Cricetulus griseus: one gene and its partners. The protein of the gene in region 1 interacts with the protein of each later gene in a biochemical or structural test. Links are inferred from orthologs where the notes say so. Each region holds a gene or a part of one and is shown on either strand. Other genes may lie near its edges.

Region 1 (3,760 bases):
CCTCCTCCTCCTCCTCCTCCTCCTCCTTCTTCTTTCTTTTCTTTTCTTTTTTTTTTTTTTGGTTTTTTGAGACAGAGTTTCTCTGTATGGAAAGAGGCTGTCCTGGATCTTGCTCTGTAGACCAGGCTGATCTCGAACTCACAGAGATCCACCTGCCTCTGCCTCCTGAGTGCTGGTATTAAAGGTGTGTGCTGCCAATGCCTGGCAGGATATAGTTAACTTCTTAAGAATGGAGGTGCAGCTGAGCATTGGTGGCAGAGGCAGGTGGATCTCTGAGTTCAAGGCCATCCTGGTCTCCCGAGCAATTTCTAGGATAAGCTCCAAAGCTACACAGAGAAACCCTGTCTCAAAAAAAAAAAAAAAAAAAAAAAAAAGAATGGAGGTGCAGCACTAGTGTAAGCGCACATAGTGCTTTAAAAGAAATATCACTGTGAAGAACAACACGAGATAGTCTTGATCCACCACATAGCCTTGAGCTTGGGCTCATCACTAAAAGAAGAGTTCATTATTAGGAAGAATTAGCAGCAGACCTTGTGTTCAAACTGTGCTCCAGTCACATCTCCCAGAAGTTGTAATCTCCACTGAAAATGCTGGAATTGACTGGCTCATGCTTAGCCATTATCTGAAATGTGTTAGGGCTTAGGTGGAGCTCCAAGTAAAACAGCTCTTCAGCTGTACCAGGCCCCAGAGATCTGTCTGTTGATTTACAGGATAATATAGTTAAGAGTTTCTACAAAGCAAATTCCTCAGTAACTTTGTTGAACTTTGTGAGTAATGAATTTGACGTGTGTAACTGGACATGCCCAGCTGTGATCTTAGAATCAGCCCGAATCTTATTCTTTGCCTGTTGTAGACTAAAACGAACAAGGATGGTGGGAGCCAGGAGGTTGAGATTGCCCATTGCCATAAGGGACAGTACTTCGGAGAGCTTGCACTGGTCACCAACAAACCCAGAGCTGCTTCTGCCTATGCAGTTGGAGAAGTCAAATGCTTAGGTAAGAAAAGTTCTTTGTGAGGTGCTAACAAGCCCCCCCCCCAACCTTAGACTGTTAATAGTTGCTGGGGGAGAGAGAGATTGTCTTCATAGGGTAGCCACTGATAAATTGCCCATGACACAATCCTAATTAAACTTTCTTCCCTCTCCCCCACAAAAACGACATGAAATTAGAAGAATCGGAAGGGAACTAACTGGCTGGGAAGAAGAGAGGATAGATGGGAGTGGGACAAGATGGGGTGGAGTGAATATGATAAAAATTACATACATGGCCAGGCAGTGGTGGCACACGCCTTTAATCCCAGCACTTGGAAGGCAGAGGCAGGTGGATCTCTGAGTTCGAGGCCAGCCTGGTCTACAGAGCAAGTTCCAGGATAGGCTCCAAAGCTATATAGAGAAACCCAGTCTCGAAAAACAAAACAAAACAAAAAAATACACACACACACACACACACACACACACATATGAAGATGCCCTAATAACAACCATTATTGTATATTATATGTGCTAATAAAAACTTTAAAATGAAAAAGGAAATTCTTTGTACATTACTAATTTTTTTCTAATGTACAGGTTTTTTGTTTTGTTTTCTGTTAGCAAGCCTTGATTTATTCAGTCAAACTCATTCAGATCTAGGTCTGGGTACTTGTATAAATGAATTCTTAGAGCAAAGCTGTTTTTGGTGGGGGAGGTGTTGGGCATTGAACTTAGAACCTTGAACATTCTGAGCACATGCTGTACCTCTAAGCTTTCCCCAGCACCCTAGCGGTCGGTTCTGAGCAGTGAGCAACCCTGAGTAAGACAGGTGTACAGCGCCACAGCTGTGCAGAAGCAGCAGTGATGTGGGCAGGTTGCCAGGTCTGTGGAGGGACAAGACAGGCAGGTGCTGCTGTGCCCACATCCGTCTTCAGCGTTCGTACAGAGCATCCCTTCCCCAGTGTCCTGAAATGTCATCTCCTGGAGCATGAGGAAGTGGAGTAGGGAAAGGGTGGCATGCAGGAGATTGCTTCAACTGTTAACATAAACAAACCCTTCTCTCCCGAACTCTTTTTTTTTTCTTTTTTAAACAATGCAGTTATGGATGTTCAAGCATTTGAGAGGCTTCTGGGACCGTGCATGGACATCATGAAGAGGAATATCACACACTACGAAGAGCAGCTGGTGAAGATGTTTGGCTCCAACTTAGATCTGTTGGACCCTGGGCAGTAGATGTGATGATTCTCAGAGCCTTCTCAGTGTGACACCAAAACCTTCCAGTCAGCCACAGAACACACACAGAAAACAGACACGACAGAACCGTTCCTGCTGTTGTCACCGCCGCTGCCATTGCTGTGGTTAAGGGCATTTAGAAATCTTGAGAGTCAGCACTGAAAGATGGACAGAGGCTCCGCCCCCACCTCCACTTTGCTTCTGAAAGCCCATCATTAGACCACTTATGTAACAATTTACTTCAACCCAGTTTTCACATCTTTGGTTCAGAATGGCATGTCTCTCCAGCAATTTAAGTGCCTGATACAAAGTCCAAAGTGTAAACATCTTTTCCTCTCTTGCTGCTAATGATGCTTCTGAAAGTTACCCTAAGGTCTACAGAAACCTGTTGAATAACTGTAGACCCCTCCACAGTCCTTGTCAAGGGAGGAGATGGTACAGCCTTCAGTCTCCTCGTTTGTCTTTTGAGAAAGTTCACAGTGTGTTCACAGTTGCTGCCTTCACTTTCCCAGTGCAAGATGGCAGCAGTTATAATGGAGGTCTGTGCTCTAGTGGTCCTGTCCTATTTGCTGGCAGCTGCACAACATAGCTGTGTCCAAGCCCATAGTGACACTCAGAAAAGGGTCTATTGAAGGCCCAGCAGGCCCATACAGAGCAGATTGATTACTTAGATTCACGTTAGCAAGACACTTGGACTCAGCACTCCTGCCAGGAGCAAAGAGCCAGGAAAGATTATCTGGGTTAGCGTTCTTGTTGTTTGTTCTTAGCAAGTTTTGTTTAACCTCGGTGTAGTTTGCATAAAGAAATTGCTGCCATTTTCTAAGGAGCCAGGAGTTAGCTCAGCTGGTTAGAGCATGGTGCTGATACAAGGAGCCAGGATCTGGAGGTGTCGTCGCTTCATCTGACCTTTAGTTCCCTGAGCAACCCTGGCCATGTCTTGTTAGCAGTTGGTCCACTGGCTGATGGCTGTGGGCTGAAGGGGCTGTGCTACACAGAGAGTCCTTTTCCTTCATCTTCCAACATTGTTGCCTAGCTTGGCTAGGAATCATCCATTTTGAAACTCTTACAAAGAAGCTAATTTTTTTTAAGGAAATTATTTCTCTATTTAAAGGAATTCACTTTGGTCATATTCCATACACACATGGGGTTTGTGAGCTGACTCAGACATTTGTGCTAAGTATCTGTTTTCAAAACTTGGTATCATTGGGGAAGGGGGTGGGTGTGGCTCAGTGGCAAAGCACTTATGTAGCATGTGCAAAGCCTTGGGTTTGATCTCCAGCACTATAATAACCACAGAAAGAAAGGTTACCATTTATAAACTTACTGTGAAGGCCTTTCTAACTGTCTCTCAGCTTTTGCCGTGGTCACTTGTAGTTAAGAGATGTCCAGACTAGATCAGTCACCACCATTTTAGTAATTACTTTTTCTTGTGTTCCATGAAATAAAGCAGGACTCTTCAGACTGCCCTAAGTAGCCTATGTTACAGCTTTGGGAATTGTATGGTCATAACTACTACTCCAAAGCAGGCAGCTAGCACTGGAAAACCTTTGTGGTGAT
Region 2 (5,372 bases), on another chromosome or scaffold:
TCTTTTTTAAAATATCCCCCACTTTAAGCCATGTATGGTGGTGTACAGCTGTAATCATAGCACTAGGGAGACTAACTAACATGAAAGAACCACAAGTTTGAGCCAGTCTGAGTTACCTAGTAAGAACCTATCTAAAGCAAAGCAAAACCAAAACATCCTCAAATATGTGTATAAGTGTGTGTGTGTTCCCTCTTTACATAACCTTGCATATTTGTATTTCCTACCCATTCTCTTTTTAACTCCAGACTTGCATATCCAACTCAGCTGCTATTTGCAAAAGCAGTATAAAGTTAATGGGTCCCAAATAAACCAAATGCTTGCCTGCCAGCATTAACTAAAGCCAGAGAGACCTTAACCATAACAACGTGAGTGAGTCTTGTCCCTCTACTTCTAACAACCCCAGAGTCACTGAGTGCTGGGTCCTTACCTTAGGCCAGCATCTAGTCTCAAATGGATCAATTACCTCAGCTTCTTGACCAGTCCCTTCTGCCATGGTCAGTTACTAATCCACTATTTACAGAACAGGTATGGTTCTGTAAATTTGGGGGGGCGGGGTGGAGAGATGGCTCAGTGGTTAAGAGCACTACCAAATCTTGCAGAGGATCAGAGTTTGGTTCCCAGGCTCCACATGGAGGCTCTAAACTGGTTTGTAACTCCAGTTCCAGAGGATCCAATGTCCTCTTGGGTCCTTCACAAGCATCAGGCACTCACATGATGTATGTACATGTATGCAGGCAAACACTCATACACATAAACTCTTTAAAAACAATTGTGGGGGGTTTGAGATAGGAACTCAACTCTGTAGCCCAGGGTGCCTTGAAATTGTGGCAATCCTCCTGCCTCAGCCTCCCAAGTGCTGCCTCATGAAATAAATGAGTTAGACAGTAGATAGATGAAATTATATTTTCCACTCAGTAAGCATACAGTCTCTTTTTAAAATTTAAATTCACGCTTGATCACCAGTGAAGATTTTCCCAAGTAATGGTTAGTTCTTTTTGGTTTTGTTGTTGTTGCCTTTTTTTTTTTTTTTTTTGAGAAAGGGTTTCTCTGTGTAGCTTTGGCTGTCTTAGTACTCACTCTGTAGACCAGGCTGGCCTTGAATTCAGAGATTTACCTGCCTCTGCCAAGTCCTGGGATTAAAGGGGAGCACCACCGCCGGTCTAGGACCAAGTAATGGCTAGTTATTAGTATGGTATCTTTTCTATATTTTGTTCAAAAACTGCATTTAAAGTACCATGTTGCCTTTGTAAAGCCAACATTACAAAGGTAGAGGCAGGAGGATCAGGAGTTCAAGGTCAGCCTCAGCTACCTTTCGAGGTTGAGGCCAGTGTAGGTTACACGAAAGTCTCAGAATATCAAAATAAATAAGCAAGAAACAAAAAGCGCCTAGGTTTTAAGGTTCAGAGCAGAGCTGGCCAGAGGGACTCCTCTGAATGTCTGAAGGCATTTTATTTTCCAAAGTTGTTGTGGGAGGCAGTGACTCTTGGTGACCCACTTCTTCGAAGGCAAAGTTTCTGAAACCCCAAACCATTTAGAGGGAAGTCGTTTCGACATCACTGGGTTTGCGAAAATGGGAAAGCAATTTGGTATTCGAGTGCCACACAGTATCCGTATTAACTGAGCAATTTTCATGGCCCCCTATTATACTCGCAAGGTTACGGGAAAGCTAAAATCCGAGACAAGGGGAGCCTTGTCCCTCACCAGCTTCTCCGGCCTTTTCCAAGGGACACACCATCCGAAAGCAAGAACATGGGAAGACGCAGAGCCCCCACGCGCGCCAAATTCCCTGTGCCCGACGCGCAGACAACGGGAATCCATCCCGGCCGGAGCGTGGGCCGCACGGCCACTCCTACGCCGCTGTGACTACAACTCCTCTCGCGAGAGCACCCGCAGGGCGGGCCCGAACGGCGCCGGGATGTCAGCGGAGCTCTCCAGACCGCGCCCCTCTTGGCGCAGCTGGGAGAGAGGCGCGCGCAAGTCGGGGAGGGAGCGGCCGGTGTCGCGCACGCGCAGCAGGGCGAGCGGGCGAGTGGGAGCCCGAGGGCGAGGGGCGGGGCTTTGCGTCGCGCCGCGGGCACGTCGTTGCGCGTCCTCAGTATTTAATGTCTCTGTGTTCGCCCGGCCTGGGCTAGCACGTGGGGGAGCGGCCGGAGCGCGGCTCGGCGCTGCAGGGCAGGGCCGCTGGGCTAGGTGGGGGTCAGGGGGCGGTGGCGGGAGGACTGTGTACCTAGACGGTCGCCCCGGAGCAGGTAAGTAGCGGCTGGCGCGGGCACCCGCCTGCCGGGCCCGGAGGGAGAGCGAGTTGGGGTGATGGGGAGCCCGGGGTGCAGGTGCAGGGTGCGACGCGCGTGCCAGGTGCTCCGGGGACGGGGCGGTGTGTGCACGGCGCCCGCTGTGAAGCGGGCGGGTCTGTGACTCAAGTGACCCGCGCGCCCCCTGGTCCTCCTTCTCGGTCGAGCTGGTGCTGACAGATCGCGTGTGCGCTTAGCTTGGGGCGCTGCTCTGAGCCGCTGCTTCCCCCCTCCCATCCCCCGCACGTCACTGGCCTCTAGGATGGAGGTGAGGGCACAATTCCTCCGGCGCCCCGGTGCGCCTCAACTTTCCCGGTGTTGGCTCGCCCTTCTGGGTAGCGAACCCGAGCGCGTCCCACCCAAGGTCGACCAGCCTCGGTCGCGTTTACTTTTCAAAGGTCGTGTGTACCCAGTTTGAGCGTGGAGAGGAGGCAGCGGGGCGGTCTCTGTCCAAGGACTCGGTACCCAAGGCGGGAGAAGAGGTCCTTGGGGACCGATCTCTTTCCTGGCTGAGGGATCGGAGTTGAAATTGGTCATTTTCAGAGCCTCTTGTAACTTCTGGGCCCGGTTGATTTCGTTCTGGGTTGTCCCGGCGGTGGTGGCAAACCCGAGCAGGTAGGCAAGGTTCCTGGAGTTCAGTGCAGGGAACTATCGGAGCGAGCTCTGCCGTCGCTGCGGGAAGGATGGGATGCGAGACAGATCCCGAGCCTATTGGCCGTGGAGGGACCGTAAGAACCGAGTTAGGATCGGGAGGTCGAGAACTTGGGTATCTTCAAGGGGATTAGGGTTTGTGGCCCCATAAGCGTGTCCCGAGAGGTGGAGGACCTCTAGCTCGAGGTGCCCGCTGACTTCTGGCCTGTGGGGAGTCCAGTGTCACGTGTTATGATCCACTTTCCTTCTCGTCCCGGGTCGGTGATCTGGAGGGACTTTGCAGGGGTCATAGGTAAAAATGTGCTTGGGGAGACCCCCCAGACGCATAAGGGGCGACATTCCAGAGTCAACTACCCCTGTGCCCTAGGTTATGGCTTTTCCTGTTTCCTTTCCTTGGGAGGGAAAGGCAGATGGTATTGGGTTATGCAGAAGCGACCTCTGAGAAGCCCTGTACATAACGGGACCTTTCTCCCCCAGTGAAATGCCTCCGGCGATCGGTACCTTTCTATCCTTGGGCTGTGGTTAACACAAACCCGGTGGACTTCGCTCCAGGTGCGAATGGAGGCTTCTCAAACCCAGTAGGATAGGGTGTATGTGTAGGGCAATTAGTGAGGTTAAACTGCCGATCTTTCCCCTACTGAGGTTGAGGCTGCTTGGGGTTTAAATTTAACTCCTGCAGTGAAATTAGGGCTGCTGGACCTGATGTAACCATCTCTCTGTTTGTTTGCCACCTCCCTCTATACTCGAGTATTGCAATTGCCATCCAGGAACACAGTTCACAAAAAGCTGTTGCTTTAGGAAATTAACCTTCCATGCTCGTTTAACTGCAAAATCCTTCCCAAATTAGTAACCACGTGGTTTTTTGTTTTGTTTTGTTTCTTTTAAACGTTTAACTTTAGAAAGAGTCTTAGGGCTACACCTACCCATTCCTCTCTTAAAGGTACAGAGCATCTAGACCTCTGAAAGAGTTCTCATATCAAATTCTTCTGTTATTGGCATTTAAGTGGTTCACCTGCAGATTATTTAGGACTTTTTCAGAGCCCAAGGAACAAGTGAGGTTATGTTTGGGGAGCTTTTTGGACTTGTTGAACCTTCTTTTCACCTCTAACCTGTTTTGTAGGTTCTGGGTAATTCCTGGGTGTAGTCTTGTGAAATATGAAAAAGTGGCCTTGGGTTAGAGGAGGCCCTCGTACCCTACAGGTATGCAAATCACTAAAGCTTCAGTCATTTTGCTAACTCAGTAGGCCTTGTTCTGTAGGATATGCAGGTGGCTATCCAACCCAGTGGGTGAGATCTGATCTAGGTCTAGTGGGTTTGTGTCTGCGTGGCTCTCCCATCTCCCAGCTGTTTGTAGAAATTGCATTCACACTTGGCCACTGCAGGGCGACAGCCTAGATACGGGTATCTGTTGTACATTGCCTGATCAGATGCTGAGAGCAATGTGTCGGGTTGCTGAGCATCAATACTTTAAAGCAGTGTCTTGCTAACCGGTAAACCAGATTATACTTGGACCTGGCCGAGAGGCTGGTCACAGCCATAGTTTATGGAGGAAGGTAGTTTTAACTTCCGATTTTCCCTTTCTCATCCTAAATATGGATGGAAATCATAAATTTGAGACTTGGGACTATGTCTTGGTATGTGGCAGGCACTTAAGTATAGTATCCTTCACTCCCAAGGAATCCCTGTGTTTGACTCAATCATTTGATTGTTTAAGTATAAAAGCACTCCCTCCCCTAGCCTCTGACCTAGTAATTTGCTTCGAAGGAAAGAGGAGACAAATTGATTTCTCCATGCTTTGCCACCTAGCCTCCTGGGTCAACATGTCTTGATGAAACTGGCATTTTAAGGCATCGGAGCTCATGTGCCTGGAGAGCTGCCCTGTTTTCCATGGCCACTCCTTCCTAGTCTTCCGTGAGTCTGCCATGCCTGGGCCTCTCTGCAGCCCAGTCTTTTCCTGTTTGAGGGAAGTTTGCGTCTGGCATTTGTTTCTTTGAATAGTCATCCTAGGAACTTTATTATAGGGAGGTGCTTGGGTTCTGTGGGCCCCCTGCCCCTCTGAAATATATAATAATGTTTGGAAGTTGCTAATCTCTATAGTGGGGCATATTTAAGTCCTAAATCTTGCTTTATAGGGCAAGTTTTGATTCTCCTTCCTGGTGTAGCCAGTCTCTTCGTCTTTCTCAAGTATTTGGGATTGAATATAGGGCCCTTATGCATGTTAAGTACTGTACCATTGAGCGTTAGCCCTAAGTGGTTTTTTTTTTGTTTGTTTGTTTGTTTTTGGAGACAGGGGTCTTGCTATGTAACTGAAGCCAACCTAAACCCACAATCCTCCTGCCTCAGTCTTCCAAGTGCAGGGATTACAAGCACACAGTATCACAGTTCACCTTTCCCTTACCTTTGTTTTCCTCCTCCTGATGGTGCATGTCA
Region 3 (5,100 bases), on another chromosome or scaffold:
TGCCCCACAGTATGGTTTTACAGAGAAAAATCTTGTTTCCATCTGTTGGACTTTTTAATCAGTTTGTAGTAGTTTGAGCTTTACATTTTAAGTGGCATTGTTAGAACTAACAAGGGTGGTTTTCACTGACTATTTAAAGGATACATTTTATAATAGCTTTATGTTTCCTAAGCTTTCAAATAACTCTGAGGGAAGTTAAATTTTCCATTTAGTACTTGAAGAGGAATCTTGCTGGCCAGTGAAGATTGAAATACAATGTTCTGTATGCTTAATTCATTCAAAAAAAAAAAATAGGTATTATGAAGTTCTTGCTACCTGAATGGGAGCTCTAGTTATAGAAGACTGGATGTGTTGTACTCATAGTAAAGCTCAGATTGACAGCAGGAGGAGATGCTGGCAGAACTGATGGGAGCCTCAGAAAGGATAGCTTTAGAACACCCCACTCCCAACATGTAGAATGCTGGGCTTGGAGCCTAAAAACCAGAATTCTGTAATCCTGGTGCCCACTAAAGTTGAACCAAACAGACAAAACAGTTTTAAAAGCCGTTGGTGAATTAAAATGGAACAGTTTGGGTAGATTTATGTCTTCCAACATTGATGATATAGCAACTCATCAAAGAGAAACAGGAAATTGTCATGTAGGTTGCTATTTCAAAAGGACAAGTACTTAGCTTCTCTGTAAGCCCAGCTTTCTGGGTACATTGTTAATAAATTTTGAAGCCCCTGTTAAGATTTGTATTATTGAATGTAGCAGCAGTTATGTTACCAGTAAATGGTGATTTTCAGAGGATCACTCTGTTACTAGAGCTAGTAATACTTCATACTATGTTTCACAGTACTTTCTATGTCATTTTGAATTTTCACAGGTTCTTTGTGTGGACATGGATAATTAAGGCCACATCTGCTTTGTAGTGGAAGCAGTATAGGTCATGATGCAAATAGAACTGATAAGATCCCACAGGTTTTTTGAATTTGCCCGAGGACTGCCTATCGAAACTACAGCAGTCTTTTGACTTCAACAATTGGCAGTTTAAAGATCCCTAGCTATGGGTGGTGCTATGCTGGGTTGGTGGAATGCTCCGTAATAAATGAGTTCCAAATATATTGTTACTTGCTTTGAAATACCACCCCCCCCCCCACAACACACAACCACCACCACTGAACCGTTTAGCTTTCAGGATTTGTTTCTGGCATTTGTTTGTATGGTACCCTGCCTTACCCTTTGCCCTGCTGTGGAACCCATCATGCCTCTCTTGTGTCTCCACTGTGCTTCACAGACCACTTAACACTTCTAACACTTTAGATGCATTTTTGTGGATGTGTTTTCCCCATTTACTCGGTTGCACATTCCTTAAGAGTTGAGGGCAGCACTTGAAATTTGTTTCTATTGCCTTCTTCAGTTTTACTTGTGCTTCTATATCTCAGTGCCTTTCGAATAGGCATGGTAGTTTTGGTTAAATGTTCTCAAGTAGAATTCCAAGTCATCCTCAGGAAAGAGCTTTGCCCCATGTGTGAATAAATAATTGATCATCTGAAGAAAAGGTTAGGATTTATGTCCTCAAAAGGAAGATCAGTTAAGATATGAAACTGCACAGGAGAACTTTGTGATCTGGAGCAAGTGACAGAGTGTTATTTTGTTTTGATCTCTTTGGTGGGGTCCTTAGTGAGAACTCGGGACTGACAGTGCTTAACTGGCGCTTTAGCTAAACTTCTGTCCTGTATCTCTGTTATTTACTTGGAACTTTCTGTGTGTGCTTTCTTAGTAATCTTGTTCTACTTCTCTGACAAAGCAATGAATTAGGAGTTTTCTTATTTTATGGAAGGAGAAATTGGGCTAAGATTTATATTTTAAAGTTACCAGTCTTTGATTGAAGATTCAAGTTTTTCATTGCTTCTTTGAGACTTGCTTTGTCACTTGAGATGAGACTATTAATATTCTGTTTTTTAATTAAAGTTTTTATCAATGTGTTTGTTTGACTATATGTCAATTGAATACAGGTATCTGAAAAAGCCAGAAGAGGGCATCAGCTTCCTTAGACCTTGAGTTACAGGCAGATGTGAGCCACCCAAGTGTCCAGCATGGATGCTAGGAGCTACACTCAAGTCCTCTGTAAGAACAGTGAGTGGTCTTAACCTCTGTTAAGCCAGCTCTTTAGTTTCCTTGTCCTTGCTCTTAAAAATTATTTATTTATGTATTCATTCATTCATTCATTCATTCATCTGTTTAATTTGTGTATATAGGGACGTAAGTGCCACAGCATGTCCATGGAGGTCAGAGGCAACTTGTAGGGTCAGTTCTCTCCCTTAATATGTGGGCTGGTGGGATCCAGCTCAGGTCTGCAGGCTTGGGAGAAAACACCCTTACTTGCTGACCCATCTCCCTGGCTCTGTTTCTCCTTTTTAAACCAAGAAAAAGCTGTTGGCTCTTGTATATCCTTGGAGCCCTCCACAAAACTCTGTTTGGATTAACTGCTGACCCCATGTGATATACAGAGCATCTGGCAGCTGGGGTGGAATTCTCAGCTGTCTCTTTTTGTTTTGTCCACAGAAGGAAATGTGAGTTTTATCTTACGGTACATTCCTTTTTTGGTTCATGGGATCCTCCAATCTGGTTGTGGGCTCATTTCCTACCTTTGTTTTGTTGTTATCTTGCATTTGTTTGGAGATCAGGAATGAACTTAACCTACTCTTAATGAAGGTAGAATTATGAGGTACCTCTGGCATTCCAAAATTCTACTTTGAGGTTTTGCTGACATTGTCTAGTTCATTCTTGTTGTATGAAGTGAATCCAGGCAGCAGATCCTAAGACGTTAGCTCTGCAGTTACTTATCTTTTCTGCATGAAGCCTGCTTTCCAGTTCTCAGTGACATTTATTATTCTTCCCACATGTAAGGGTATGATTTATACATTGTCTGCATATTACTCAGAATTAAAAATGTTTTTACTTCTTGGTTAGAAGAGAAAGGATGTTTGAAGACATGATACACTGAGGCTCCACCATAGTTTTTCTGCTTAGTATAGAGTTGGGAATGCTGATTTTTTTTTTCCAGTTGTAATGTATTTGTGTATTTGCATGTGAGCATGCAGGAGGGAGTGGCCGAGAAGAATATTGTATTGCAGTAGTAATCATATGCACCTCTGATTATTTAGCATCTGCAAGTACTTACATGGTGTGCTGTGCTTCTTTATTTTTTTGTGTAATCCTAATAACTTCATGAGATGACTGCTCTCCTTAAAGAAGAGACAGTGTCAGAACACCTGTGTCACTTGGTGGACCGTGAAGCTAGCAAGGAGTAGAGTTAGAACTCAAATCTGGTCTCCCATCACCCCCAGGAAGTTAGCAATTCATTGCTGTTCTTACATTGTTAACCACCTGACCAGATTTTTGGAAACTTCTGTGCTTTCTAGTGTGTGGGAGGGGGTAGCTTAGAAGCTTGCTGAACTAGCTTCATTGATGACTTTGGAGGTGAAGCAAGACAATCAAAGACAATAAATAACCTAGGATGCTATTAGGTAGCTGAGAGCTGGGTGAGTACAGCAGCCAAGCCAGTCAACTCTTTTCAGTCAGCGTCAGAGTGAGTGACAAGAGTGCTTAAGTATCCTGGTCCCAGGGCGGGGAAGACAGAGAGGGGTCAAGAGTTAAGAAAGGCTGGTAGCTTTCAGCTCTTTCCTTGAAATTCCAAATGAAAATAATTTAAAAAACAAACAACCCAATGATGTTTCCTGCATTTTAAGCAAATATCTGATCCTGTTTCAGAAGGAAGAATGTCTGAATGTTGACTTAATTATTTGAGCAGTTCCATATGGTTATGAAAAAGTCCTGAGAGATGGAGAAGTTGCTTAAAAAAAAAAAAAAAAAAAAAAAAAAAAAGCCCACCAGAAAATCTGAGTCCAGCACCCTCCAAATAGTTTAGCAGTACTCATTTAACAGCAACAGACCGAGAAGTGAGCCGCATACAGCAACAGAAAGAACTTGGAAGAACTTTAAGAATTCCATTCTCTTAAGAGACACCTCTTACTATATGACTTACATACATTAAATGTTTTCCAAGCATTTGTATTTTGTTTCCATTTCATCTTAAATCTCAAAATTCTTATGTTTGGGGGAAGAAATAGCTCTTTCACAGAGAAAGAAACAGATTTATTGGGCGCCATCTGCTGGTTTTGTCTCAGTAGAACAAAGATGTGAAGCCTACAAATCTATGCATTTGCTTCTGTCTTGGAAGACAGTAGTATTGTTTAAACTGACTTCTGTTAACATTGAAGAGTGGGATACCTTTAACTGAAATATTCATGAACATGTTAAAAGAAGATTGATGAGTGGATTTAATTGGGCATTGTCATTATCTGTCAAAAGAGATACGTCAAAGAAAATTGTATGATTTTCTACCAGTGAAATCAACCCTAGTTGGTATGAAAATCAGCAAATTCCTCCGTTGATTCCTGTTTATGTTGTTAAGGAAAGTTAAGGGCTTTGCTTGCTTTTGGACTATGTCTGAGTATTTTTCTTTTAATAGAGTGGGTACTATAGATGAGTGATCCTGTTGTAGTTTCTTATCAGGGGTGTTTTTGAGCCTTGCTTCTTTTTAACTGTCATTTTATGGACTTGAGCTGAAGTCTTTCATTCTCAGAGCATTACATTTTAGATCTTTTGATTTCTCATACAGTTATCTCACATAAGATGCACTGTGGAGGAAGATTGTTTGCAGAATGGAGTTAAGAATTCATTTATCCAGCATACATTATTGAGCACTTACAACAACTCAACACACTTATAGGCACAGATACAGCATTGAATAAAACAAGTATGCCTTTTACTCAGATAATTATTTGGTCTCAGAATCCTGTACATCAATATACTGTATATGTGTTATATGTCATATTAGGTGTCACAGGAGAAAGCAAGCAGAGCAAGACAGCTAAGAGGTAGAGTGGGAAAGCTCTCACTCACCCACATACACATTTGAAGGATAATGGTCATTAGTGTTCATGATGAGCATATGTGACCTTTACCACCCATGTGTAGAAGTGCATGGGGCAGGTGATATAGCCTTTCCATGGCTTTCTTTTGTCTAGTGTTCATTGGGCCAGGAACTCTGG
Region 4 (5,031 bases), on another chromosome or scaffold:
TCAATTGAGAAAATGCTTCCATAAGATCCAGCTTCAAGGCATTTTCTTAATTAGTGATAGATGGAGGAGGGCCCAGCCCATGGTGGGTAGTGTCATCCCTGGGCTGGTGCTTTCTATGAGAAAGCGGCTGAGCAAGCCATGATGAGCAGGCCAGTAAAGCAGCACTCCTTCATGGCCTCTGCATCAGCTCCTGCCTTCAGATTCCTGACCTGCTTGAGTTCCTGTCCTGACTTCCTTCCATGATGGACAGTGCTATGGAAGTATAAGTGGAATAAAGACTTTCCTTCCCCAAGTTGTTTGGTCACGTTGTTTTCATCACAACAATAGGAACTCTAAGACAACACTGATCACAAATTTAAAATATTTTAAGTAAAAAAAAAAAATATGCATTTAGTAAACTTTGCCCCCTAGCACCACAGCTTAGTACCACAAGATGCTATGAGTCCTGGTTTGCCCTGAGACCCAGTGCATCCTTGCCTACAGGCTAATCTGATGGAGGCATTTTCTCAATTGCGGTTCTCCCTTCAGGGAGGAACTTAACTTGTATCAGTTTGACAAATAAACAAACGAAACCATCAAACTAAACATAAACTAACTACAACAGTATGCCAATTCTGTGGCATCAGCTTCCTCATATTCTTGGGGTCCAAAATCTAGAATCAAGTGCTTAATGGCACTTGCCTACGATCCTAACACTTGGGAAATTGAGACAGGGGATTACTGTGAATACCAAGCCAGTTTGGGCCTACATGGTAACTGCTATATAAAATGATGTCTCAAACAAACAAATAACGATCATCCACAAAACCAAAACAAAATAAAATCACTGAAAGCATCTGGTGGCAAACAGCCACAGATCCAAATTATTGGAAGTCATTTTTCCTGTCATCCTTCCCTAAGCAATTGAGCACAACCGTTTTCATGGTATTTGCATTGTGTTATGTATCATAAGCAAACTGGAGATGATTTAAATAGTTGGGAGGTATGTATATGCTACAGGTAAATAATTATATTTCAAGTTCCTAATCTAGCTATCATCTATCTATTTATCTATTTTAAACGTAGTTTCTCTGTGTAGCTCTGGCTACCTTGGCTCTGTAAACCAGGCTGGCCTTGAATTCACAGAGTTCACAGTCTCTCTTTTCAGAGGCTTCTTCCCATGCACATGTGTTTATCTGAGCTCTGCTTTTGGAGGGAGTGGGATGCAGGACTAGAACACAAGGCCTTGTGCATGATAAGCAAGCATCCCACCACCAAACTACATCTCAGCCCAGAAGACCCCATTCTTTTGTTTGTGTTTTTGTTTTTCATTTGTTTTTTGTTTTTGTTTCTCTGTGTAGTCCTGGATGTCCAGGAACTCACTCTGTAGACCAGGCTGGCCTTGAGTTTAGAGATCCACCTGCCTCTGCCTCCCAAGTGCTGGGGTTAAAGGTGTGTGCCACCATGCCTGGCAAGTTCTATTTTATATAGGGACTATTTCTTTCATATAGTTTTTAAGAAAATGTTTCTCAAACAGTTATACTTTAAAAGCAAAACACAAAGGTACATAAAAATTGACTTCTGAGCTGACATAACAAAGCAGACTTAAGCAGCAGATTGTCAGAGAGAGAGAGAGAGAGAGAGAGAGAGAGAGAGAGAGAGAAGAGAGAGAGAGAGAGAGAAAGAGAGAGAGAGAGAGAGAGAGAGAGAGAGAGAGAGAATTAGATCATCAGACTATCTAGAAACAGGAGGACGACACTCAGAGTCAGGAAGCTCAGTCAGTTGGCGCCCGCCCTCCTGCTTTTCCTCCAGCCGCGGTTTCCGCTCCCTTTCGCGCTCTGGGCTGCCAGGAAGCCCCGCCCCACCGTATCTGGGCTATGATTGGCTCCTTTGAACGTCTACGGGTAACCTGATTGGTGGATCCCGGGCGCTTTATCGCGGTGAGTTTGAAACTGCTGGCACTCGGCCTCTGAGCTCCGGGAGTCGCTGCCTCCGCGCAGTCCGGAACTGCGCTGTGTCCGCCGCGGGAACGAGAGAGGTATGGCGTGAGGCGGGCCGGGTGCGGGCAGGGCCTGCGGGGCCTCCACGCGAGCCCGGGGTCCCTTCTGTGGACGGGCAGGGCATCCGTGTGAACCCAGGCTCCCCTTGTGGACGGGTAGGGCCTCCACGTGAGGGCATGGTCTCCCGTGGACGGGTAGGGCCTCACCTGAGCCCGGGGGCCCCGTGGGGACGGGCAGGGCCTCACCTGAGCCCGGGGTCCTTCGTGGAGGGGCAGCGCCTCCCCTGAGCTCGGAGTCCCTGCGACGTGCAGGGCCTCAGCCGAGTCCCGGGTTCCTGCAGCCCCGCAGGGCCTCCCTGGAGCCCCGGGTGTGGGCGGGGTGCCTGGCTGTGTCCTAGGCCCTGTGGGCTTGCGTGTGCAAGAGCTAGGCTGCGCCGCGCCAGCTGCCCCCGGAGGCCCTCCTCAGTGGGTGCTGCGGGAGAAACCGATCCGTGGTCGTTTTAAAAAGCACGAGTGTGAAGGTCCGGAGCCAAGAAGAACGTAGGATCGTTCCTTATTTTCAGTTGTCTGTGCTTGGAGACAGCCGCAGACAGTATCCAGGCTAAGAAAGGCTAAGAGGTAGAAACACTGATGATTTAACATCTGTCGTCTTAAAAAAAAAAGCTACTACTGAAGTTTCTGGCGTGCGCATCACCATCCCCCAAAACTTGGGAGATCTGGGCTGGAGGGACAGACGCTCTGGGCCATCAATAGCACCAGCCCCAGGAGACTGGAAAATGTTGGAGGGGAATGGGCCTGTCTTTGAAGACGCCTTAGCTCTTAGCTGTGTGTACAAAGGGGGCTGAAAAGTTTTAATGCATTATGGTTACATTACGTATGCCTATTGGAGAAGAAGGGTTTTTCTTGATGTCCATTGTAATTTCATAAAAATGGAGCCACTGACTGTGTGTGTAGTCGTGAGAGCTGGGATTCCAGGCTGTGTCACCACACTTCACGGGGGGGGGGGGGTTCATTTTACTTTGGAAAGGAATCTGTCAAGAAATGTCAGCTATTCCGTGATCTTGGTAGAGATCTAATCCGTGGCAAAGGGCGTGCACGGCAAAAGGTGCTTAGCTTTTTTCCCCCACCATTCTGTGTGAGGCAAGGATTTTTTTCTTTAGTTCATGACACTTTGCAAGTGTGATTAGAATTTTATGCAAATGGCACGGTCTTATAGTTATTGCCGTGATGAAACACCATTGACATGACCAAAGCAACTTGGGGAAGAGAGGGTTTACTTGGCTTTGCTTTCCCCATGACAGCTCCTCGTCCCTCGAAGTCAGGACAGGAATTCAAATAGGGCAGGAACCTGGAGGCCGGGACTGATGTAGAGACCATGGACGAGTGCTAATGGCAAGCTATTTTCTCGTGGCTTGCTCAGCCTGCTTTCTTATAGAATCTAGGACCTTGGGATGCCCAGGGATGGCACCATCCACAATGGTTTGGGCCTTCCCCATCAGTCAGTCATTTAGAAAATGTTCTATAATCTTGCCTGCAGCCCCCATCTTATAGAAGCATTTTTTAAATTGAGGTTTCCTCTTCCCAGTTGACTTTAGCTGGTGTCATGTTGACATAAAGCTAGTCGACCCAGTAACTTAACACTGCTCTACCATACTTATTGGCATTTCCCTTTAAGTGTCTTGAGTGGAAATGTCTGTGGCTGCTTTTTTGAAGGCATTCACTTGAGTGGCTGAACATTCCTGCTGCTCAAGTGAATTGGATGCTTTTAAAATAAATGTTTTTATAATAAATGTTATTTCTAATAGTTGTACTTTAAGGTGGCACTTCCTTCATTTGCTTTTGAGACAGTGTTGCAGTTAACTAGGCCACAGGGTGGCCTTGAACTTGGTCTTCTGATTCATCTTCCCTTGTGCTAGGATTACATCATGTGTGACTTCCTTCTCATAAATTCTTAAGATTTTCAGAAAATTAAAACAGTACAAATTTAGTACAGTAGCAATGTGTCTTGAAATGGTTGGGGAGAATGAGCATGTACTGGCATTAAAATTGCTATATTCTTTTTTTTTTTTTTTAACTTTCAGTCCTAGGAATCAAACCCAAAACCTTATGCATTTTTTATTTTGAGACATAGTGTCTCTAAGTTGTTCTAGCCTTGAACTTTTAATCTCTCTGTATCAGCCTCCTCAGTAGCTGGGATGACAGGCCTTCCCTAATGAGGTGTGCTTTATTTGTGAAATTCGAAGAAACTAAGTACTATGCTGTATAGAATATGCAAATGCAATGTTTGGGAGCTGAGAAGGCTCAGAAAGCTGCTGCAAGAGTAGTTAAACCGTGGTAATACCGTTTGAAATAAGAACTTATTTATGGGCTATTTGGAAGGGACTGTGGAAGACACTCTTTTTCCCATATCTTACCGATGAATTAGTAGCATGTAATCACACCACTGTTTCCCTTTGTTTTAGGGTCTGTCGTAACCTGTTGAGTAACTATGGAAGACTATATCAAAATAGAGAAAATTGGAGAAGGTGAGTAGTTTTAGTATAAAGTTTTTAAAAATAATTCAACAATGTTACTGCGTAACACAAAAACGTTTATTGAGTGTGATCCTTGATGTATTTGTACTTATGTGCATTAGCGTACTGTTATAGTTGGTGTTAGTGGTCACTTTGACAGAGTTTGGAATCACCCCAGCACTCCTGTAGGGCATTATCTTGAGTATATTAATTGAAGTAGGCAGGACCCTTCTCTCATTGTGGGCACAATTCCCTGGCTGAGATCCTGGACTGTAAGTGGAGAGAGGGATCCCAGCCATAGTAAGTCTCACCCTCAGCTGCCTTGTGCTCCTGCTGCACTATGACCCAGATTCTTAGTCCAAATAAACCCTTCCGTAGGTTGCTTTTGCCTGGGTTTATCACAGGAACAGTGGTTCACTTGTAACTCTTGTTCAAGAGAATTTAAATTATCCCTGATTCTTTGCTGATAACCATAGGGCCTCACAAACTTCTGAGCTCATCTCACTTCTGGTCCTGAACACACCAGATGTGTGTGTTTCA
Region 5 (4,587 bases), on another chromosome or scaffold:
TCCTCTCTCTCTCCTACCCTCCCTTTGTCTCTTTCTACTCCCCCTTCTTTCCCTCCATCTCTTTCTTCTCATTTTCCTTCTTACTTTCTCCTCTCTCCATTCCCTTCCTTTCCCCTCCTATCCCTCTCTTCCCTTCCTCTTTTCTTTCCTCTTTCTTCTGTCTCCTTCATTCCTTCTTTCCTTTTTTCTTTTTGAGACAGGTTCTCAGATAGCCCATGCTGGCCTCAAACTCACTGTGTATTGGAGAGTGACCTTGAATCCCAAATTCTCTTGTCTCCATCTCCCAAATGACTTCCTTCTTTTTATACAACCTTTTTAAAAGTATAGGAAACCATTCTTCCTCCTGGCCATATGAAAGAAAACAGGCCCCGGCCTGCCTTTGGCCCCGTCTATATGTGTAGTCCTCGGGACTTGAGTGGGTCTGGACTGAGGCTTGTGGAAAGAGATAATGATGAGGGGATGGATGGGAAAACCTGAAGCAGATCCCCTCAGTGACTGGATGTGGGAGAGTAGAAAGAAGGGATGAATCAGACATGATTCAAGGCTTCTGGCTTACAGACTAAGCATCGAAACTGTAGTACTAGTGTCACCATACCAAGATGAGGGACGAGTTGAGAGAAGAGGCTGTAATGGTTTTGAAGCTGCTGAGCCCAGCGTATCTGGGTACCATCTAGGTAAAGGGTGCCTGCAGCCAGGTGGCTCTGTGGGCCTGCTACCCCATTCCATCCACAACGTGTGTTTCACAGGGAGCCTCTGAGGGAATGGACACAAATGTTGGGTGTCCCAAGAGGCTATAGGACAGGGGAGAGCTGGTACATAAGCATCAGGATGTGAGATGGTTGGAGAGTCTGGTGCCTTGGGTGACACTCTTCTTAGCCTAGGCAAAAGGAAAGAAGAGTATCGTGGCCGTGAGCATCCATCACAACATGGAGCAGAACAGCAAAAAACAAGACAACGGGAGGGAAAATACAATGGGACAGAATCATGAGCCTTAACACTATTCGGAAAAGAGAGGACAGAATGCTGGTGGAGAGAGCCTTTAATCCCAGCACTCAGGGGGGCAGAGGCAGGTAGTTTGAGGCCAGCCTGGTCTACAGAGTGAGTTCCAGGACAACCGGAGTTACACAGAGAAAACCTGTGTTGAAAAACAGAGGGAGAGAGAGAGAGAGAGGACAGAGGGCCTTTGAGGGCACCATCCTCTGTTCCTATGTTACAGATGTCATGACCACCTGTCCTCTCACTGGTTCTGTTTTTGCTTAGTGACACAGCTGTTCTCCCTCACATGTGATATGAAAATAATCCTTTATAATGACTATATGAATTCCATATGCTGCTGTGGTCGCTGAGGCATTTGAAAGATGCTTTCTTCCCTACAAAGGGTTTGTCCTGGGGTTGTCATACAGTAACTTTATGCTTCAGCTGGAGGTCAGACAATGACTGGGTTACTCTCAGAGTATGCTTTCCTATTCTTTCAGTGTCTGCAGAATAACTAATTGTAGTGTAGGGGAGGACAGCTACGTCCTGCCTGCAAAACACTTGGCACCTTCTCCATTAACAGGCCCAAGAAAATGTAGAGGAAAAAAATAGGCACATATTTGATGAAAGAGTTGGAAAAAATGACTAAGTTTCTGGAAGGTAGGCGCCTCTTTGACATTGTCTATAAGCCTAGGCAGATCTCAGTCAAGATCACTTGCATGTTTCTGGCCTTCCCATCACTCTGCCCTGTTAGATCCGAAGTCTCTTATTTTAGCTGGTCTCTTAAAAAGTCTGGGTCCATTAAGATGTGGTGACTATTTGCATCTGTCTTCCCAGTGCATTAAGCTGCTGTGTGAAGAACACACGCAACCGCCTCTGTCCACACTGCCCACTACATGCTAACACTCAGGATGCTTGATGGTTACAATAGAAAGGGCACAGACCACTTTTTTTTCTGTCTGTTTGGCAATTAACCATTCACTGGCTTTTTTTTGTTGTAACATGCACTTCCTTTCTCTTGTTTTCATTCAAGCTATATACGCCATGGAAATTAATGTGGAGAAAGACAAACAGACAGGAGAGACCAAGATTCTCTCTGCATCCACCATTGGCCCAGAGGGGGTCCATCAGAGAGGAGTCAAAGTCTATGATGATGGTACCAAAGTAGTGTATGAGGTGCACTCAGGAGGCACTGTGGTAGAAAACGGAGTCCACAAATTAAGCGCAAAGGATGTGGAAGAACTAATTCAGAAGGCTGGACAATCGAGCTTCAGGGGACACATGTCTGAAAGGACTGTTGTTGCAGATGGGAGCCTGGGCCATCCCAAGGAACACATGCTCTGCAAAGAAGCCAAGTTAGAAATGGTACAAAAATCTAGGAAAGATCACGCTTCGGGAAACCCCGGGCAGCAGGCCCAGCCCTCCAGCACGGAAGGGCCAGAGGCAAACCTGGATCAACCCGTCACCATGATTTTTATGGGCTACCAAAACATTGAAGATGAAGAGGAGACTAAAAAGGTGCTAGGCTATGACGAAACCATCAAGGCCGAACTAGTCCTAATCGATGAAGACGATGAGAAGTCGCTAAGAGAGAAGACAGTGACGGACGTGTCCACGATCGATGGAAATGCAGCTGAGCTGGTGTCCGGGAGACCCGTGTCAGACACCACAGAACCCTCATCCCCAGAAGGCAAGGAAGAGAGCCTGGCCACAGAACCGGCCCCAGGTACCCAAAAGAAAAAGCGCTGTCAATGCTGTGTTGTCATGTGACCACTTCTTTCTCCTCCCCTTTCTTCCGGGCAGCCTCTCTACTCTCCACCTCTTAAATAGACCTCACTGTACCACTAACAGCGATACTGTGAACTGGAAGCAAACACCTGCCTTGCCTCGCAGTTGGATTTGCTTTGATCTCTCACTCACATCTTTCCTTCTCACTTGGGAAACAACGTGCATGTGTGTGCTTCATTTTTTTTTCTCCCCAAGAACTTACTTTTTCCTCTAAACCTTTCCTTGTGTCTTCAAGAGTGAATCAGTGCCGTACTGCTCGATTGGAGTGGACTCTTCATAGCAACTGGTTATCTAGTAGCCTTAATTGACTTGACTGGACTCACACCCGTTGTTGGCACCGGGGGTTTTCATTTTGGCGTGTGTTCCTCTAACATAGACACGCATACACAGAACATACACACTGCCATGCCCCTGGCTTCTCGCCTGCCTCTTTTGCTGTGTGGGTCTTTGTTTTTTTTTTTATATATATCTTGTGTAGCAAAATGCTGTGAGCTCTAGCCGGTTGCTAGCATAGTCGAAAGTGGACCTATCTTAACCTGGCTGTTCTAGGGTGACACGTTTTCTTTGCTGCCTTACATACGCTTCCAAATTACAGTATTGTACTTTCCTTCTGTTAAAACGGATACGAAGTTGACTGGAAAGCAAAGAACCCAGCGCCTGGCCCAGCTAAAGTGTAGGGACTGACGCATCTATCACCTGCCAGTCAGCAGCTTTCTCTTTCTATGGCTTACCCAATGAACCCTTTCTACAGGACTTTCTAAGGACCTCAGGCCACCATTGTTTTCAGCATCTGTAGTGCTCGCCAACCCATAAGCCTTGTTTCCAAGCTCTCCCAAAATGTAAATTTTTATATTGTTTTCTTTCTCATGGGTATCTTCTGATTGAATTCAGCTATTTTCAAAAAGTGGATCATTTTGAGAAGTCTCTCTGCAGTGACCATATTTCTTAAAACAGTCTTTCTGACCTATAGGGGCTGTCATTACACCCCTACTGAATCCAGGATGGTGCTGTAAGCATTAGCTGTCCATTTCCCATGCCCAGCTGATTAGTCTCACATCTGTGCTTTTTTCTTTTTTTTACTTTTTATTTTGTTTTCATATTCCCATGGGTAAGAGGATGTTTTGGGTAACCTCAATGTATAGTTTTCTCCACTCTTAAAAAAAAAAAAATTGGGCAGTGGTGGTACATGAGGTGGATCTCTGTGAGTTCAAGGCCAGCCTGTTCTACAGAGTGAGTTCCAGGATAGCCAGGGCTACACAGAGATACCACATCTCAACAAAAATCAAATAGACAGACAAAGGTTTTTCAATGTGAAAAGCATTGAAAGACAAAGAAAGATCATAAATATTTCCACATGGTCTGATTGTCACATTCCCTGGGCTTCTTAAGGCTTCCTTTCTTCAATTTCTGGGAATTCTAGAATATTGAGGAATTTTTTTAACCTAAAACATGATGAACAACCCTTGAAATACATTGTTAGAATGGCCCCAACCTGGACATCCACATGATTAGTGAAACCAAAGGGAAGGAATTTAGAAAAAGAGCCCTAATACAGGAATAAAATGAAGTGGTGATGTGTTAACTGATTTTGATGAAAGATAACTTTGTTTACCCTGACATTCAAAATATCATCACAAATCAATACCAGAATCATGTATATTCCCATGGAATATAGTCTCAAAAACCATATGCTTGACCTCCTACATCAAGTCTCAACATATCTGAAAGGAAGCTCAGAAAAAAAAAATAATAATGAGGAAGCCTGAGGAATTGCAGTAAAGAGCCAACTAAATTCATCCCATTTAGCTTGTTTGAAGATAAATC

Evidence for each region.
Region 2: the proteins of Prkar2a (region 1) and Akap1 form a complex in vitro, tested with the Homo sapiens proteins (2 studies listed by BioGRID, with this or other methods). The link is inferred for Cricetulus griseus from reciprocal best matches to the Homo sapiens genes PRKAR2A and AKAP1.
Region 3: the proteins of Prkar2a (region 1) and Akap13 form a complex in vitro, tested with the Homo sapiens proteins (3 studies listed by BioGRID, with this or other methods). The link is inferred for Cricetulus griseus from reciprocal best matches to the Homo sapiens genes PRKAR2A and AKAP13.
Region 4: the proteins of Prkar2a (region 1) and Cdk1 form a complex in vitro, tested with the Homo sapiens proteins (2 studies listed by BioGRID, with this or other methods). The link is inferred for Cricetulus griseus from reciprocal best matches to the Homo sapiens genes PRKAR2A and CDK1.
Region 5: the proteins of Prkar2a (region 1) and Palm2akap2 form a complex in vitro, tested with the Homo sapiens proteins (2 studies listed by BioGRID, with this or other methods). The link is inferred for Cricetulus griseus from reciprocal best matches to the Homo sapiens genes PRKAR2A and PALM2AKAP2.

What each region holds. Positions count from the first base shown.
Region 1 is NC_048597.1:216,918,688-216,922,447, forward strand, and holds part of Prkar2a (cAMP-dependent protein kinase type II-alpha regulatory subunit), read left to right. Parts: intron 1-853; coding exon 854-995; intron 996-2,069; coding exon 2,070-2,203; 3' UTR 2,204-3,760. UniProt on the Homo sapiens protein: Regulatory subunit of the cAMP-dependent protein kinases involved in cAMP signaling in cells. Type II regulatory chains mediate membrane association by binding to anchoring proteins, including the MAP2 kinase.
Region 2 is NC_048600.1:102,035,715-102,041,086, reverse strand, and holds the start of Akap1 (A-kinase anchor protein 1, mitochondrial), read left to right. Parts: upstream 1-2,098; 5' UTR 2,099-2,249; intron 2,250-2,476; exon of another isoform or gene 2,477-2,559; intron 2,560-5,372.
Region 3 is NC_048596.1:121,807,863-121,812,962, reverse strand, and holds the start of Akap13 (A-kinase anchor protein 13), read left to right. Parts: upstream 1-1,998; 5' UTR 1,999-2,083; coding exon 2,084-2,119; intron 2,120-5,100. UniProt on the Homo sapiens protein: Scaffold protein that plays an important role in assembling signaling complexes downstream of several types of G protein-coupled receptors.
Region 4 is NW_023276806.1:268,274,832-268,279,862, forward strand, and holds the start of Cdk1 (cyclin-dependent kinase 1), read left to right. Parts: upstream 1-1,871; 5' UTR 1,872-2,017; intron 2,018-4,440; 5' UTR 4,441-4,466; coding exon 4,467-4,503; intron 4,504-5,031. UniProt on the Homo sapiens protein: Plays a key role in the control of the eukaryotic cell cycle by modulating the centrosome cycle as well as mitotic onset; promotes G2-M transition via association with multiple interphase cyclins.
Region 5 is NC_048595.1:86,145,149-86,149,735, reverse strand, and holds part of Palm2akap2 (A-kinase anchor protein 2), read left to right. Parts: intron 1-2,008; coding exon 2,009-2,701; intron 2,702-4,587. UniProt on the Homo sapiens protein: Binds to regulatory subunit (RII) of protein kinase A. May be involved in establishing polarity in signaling systems or in integrating PKA-RII isoforms with downstream effectors to capture, amplify and focus diffuse, trans-cellular signals carried by cAMP.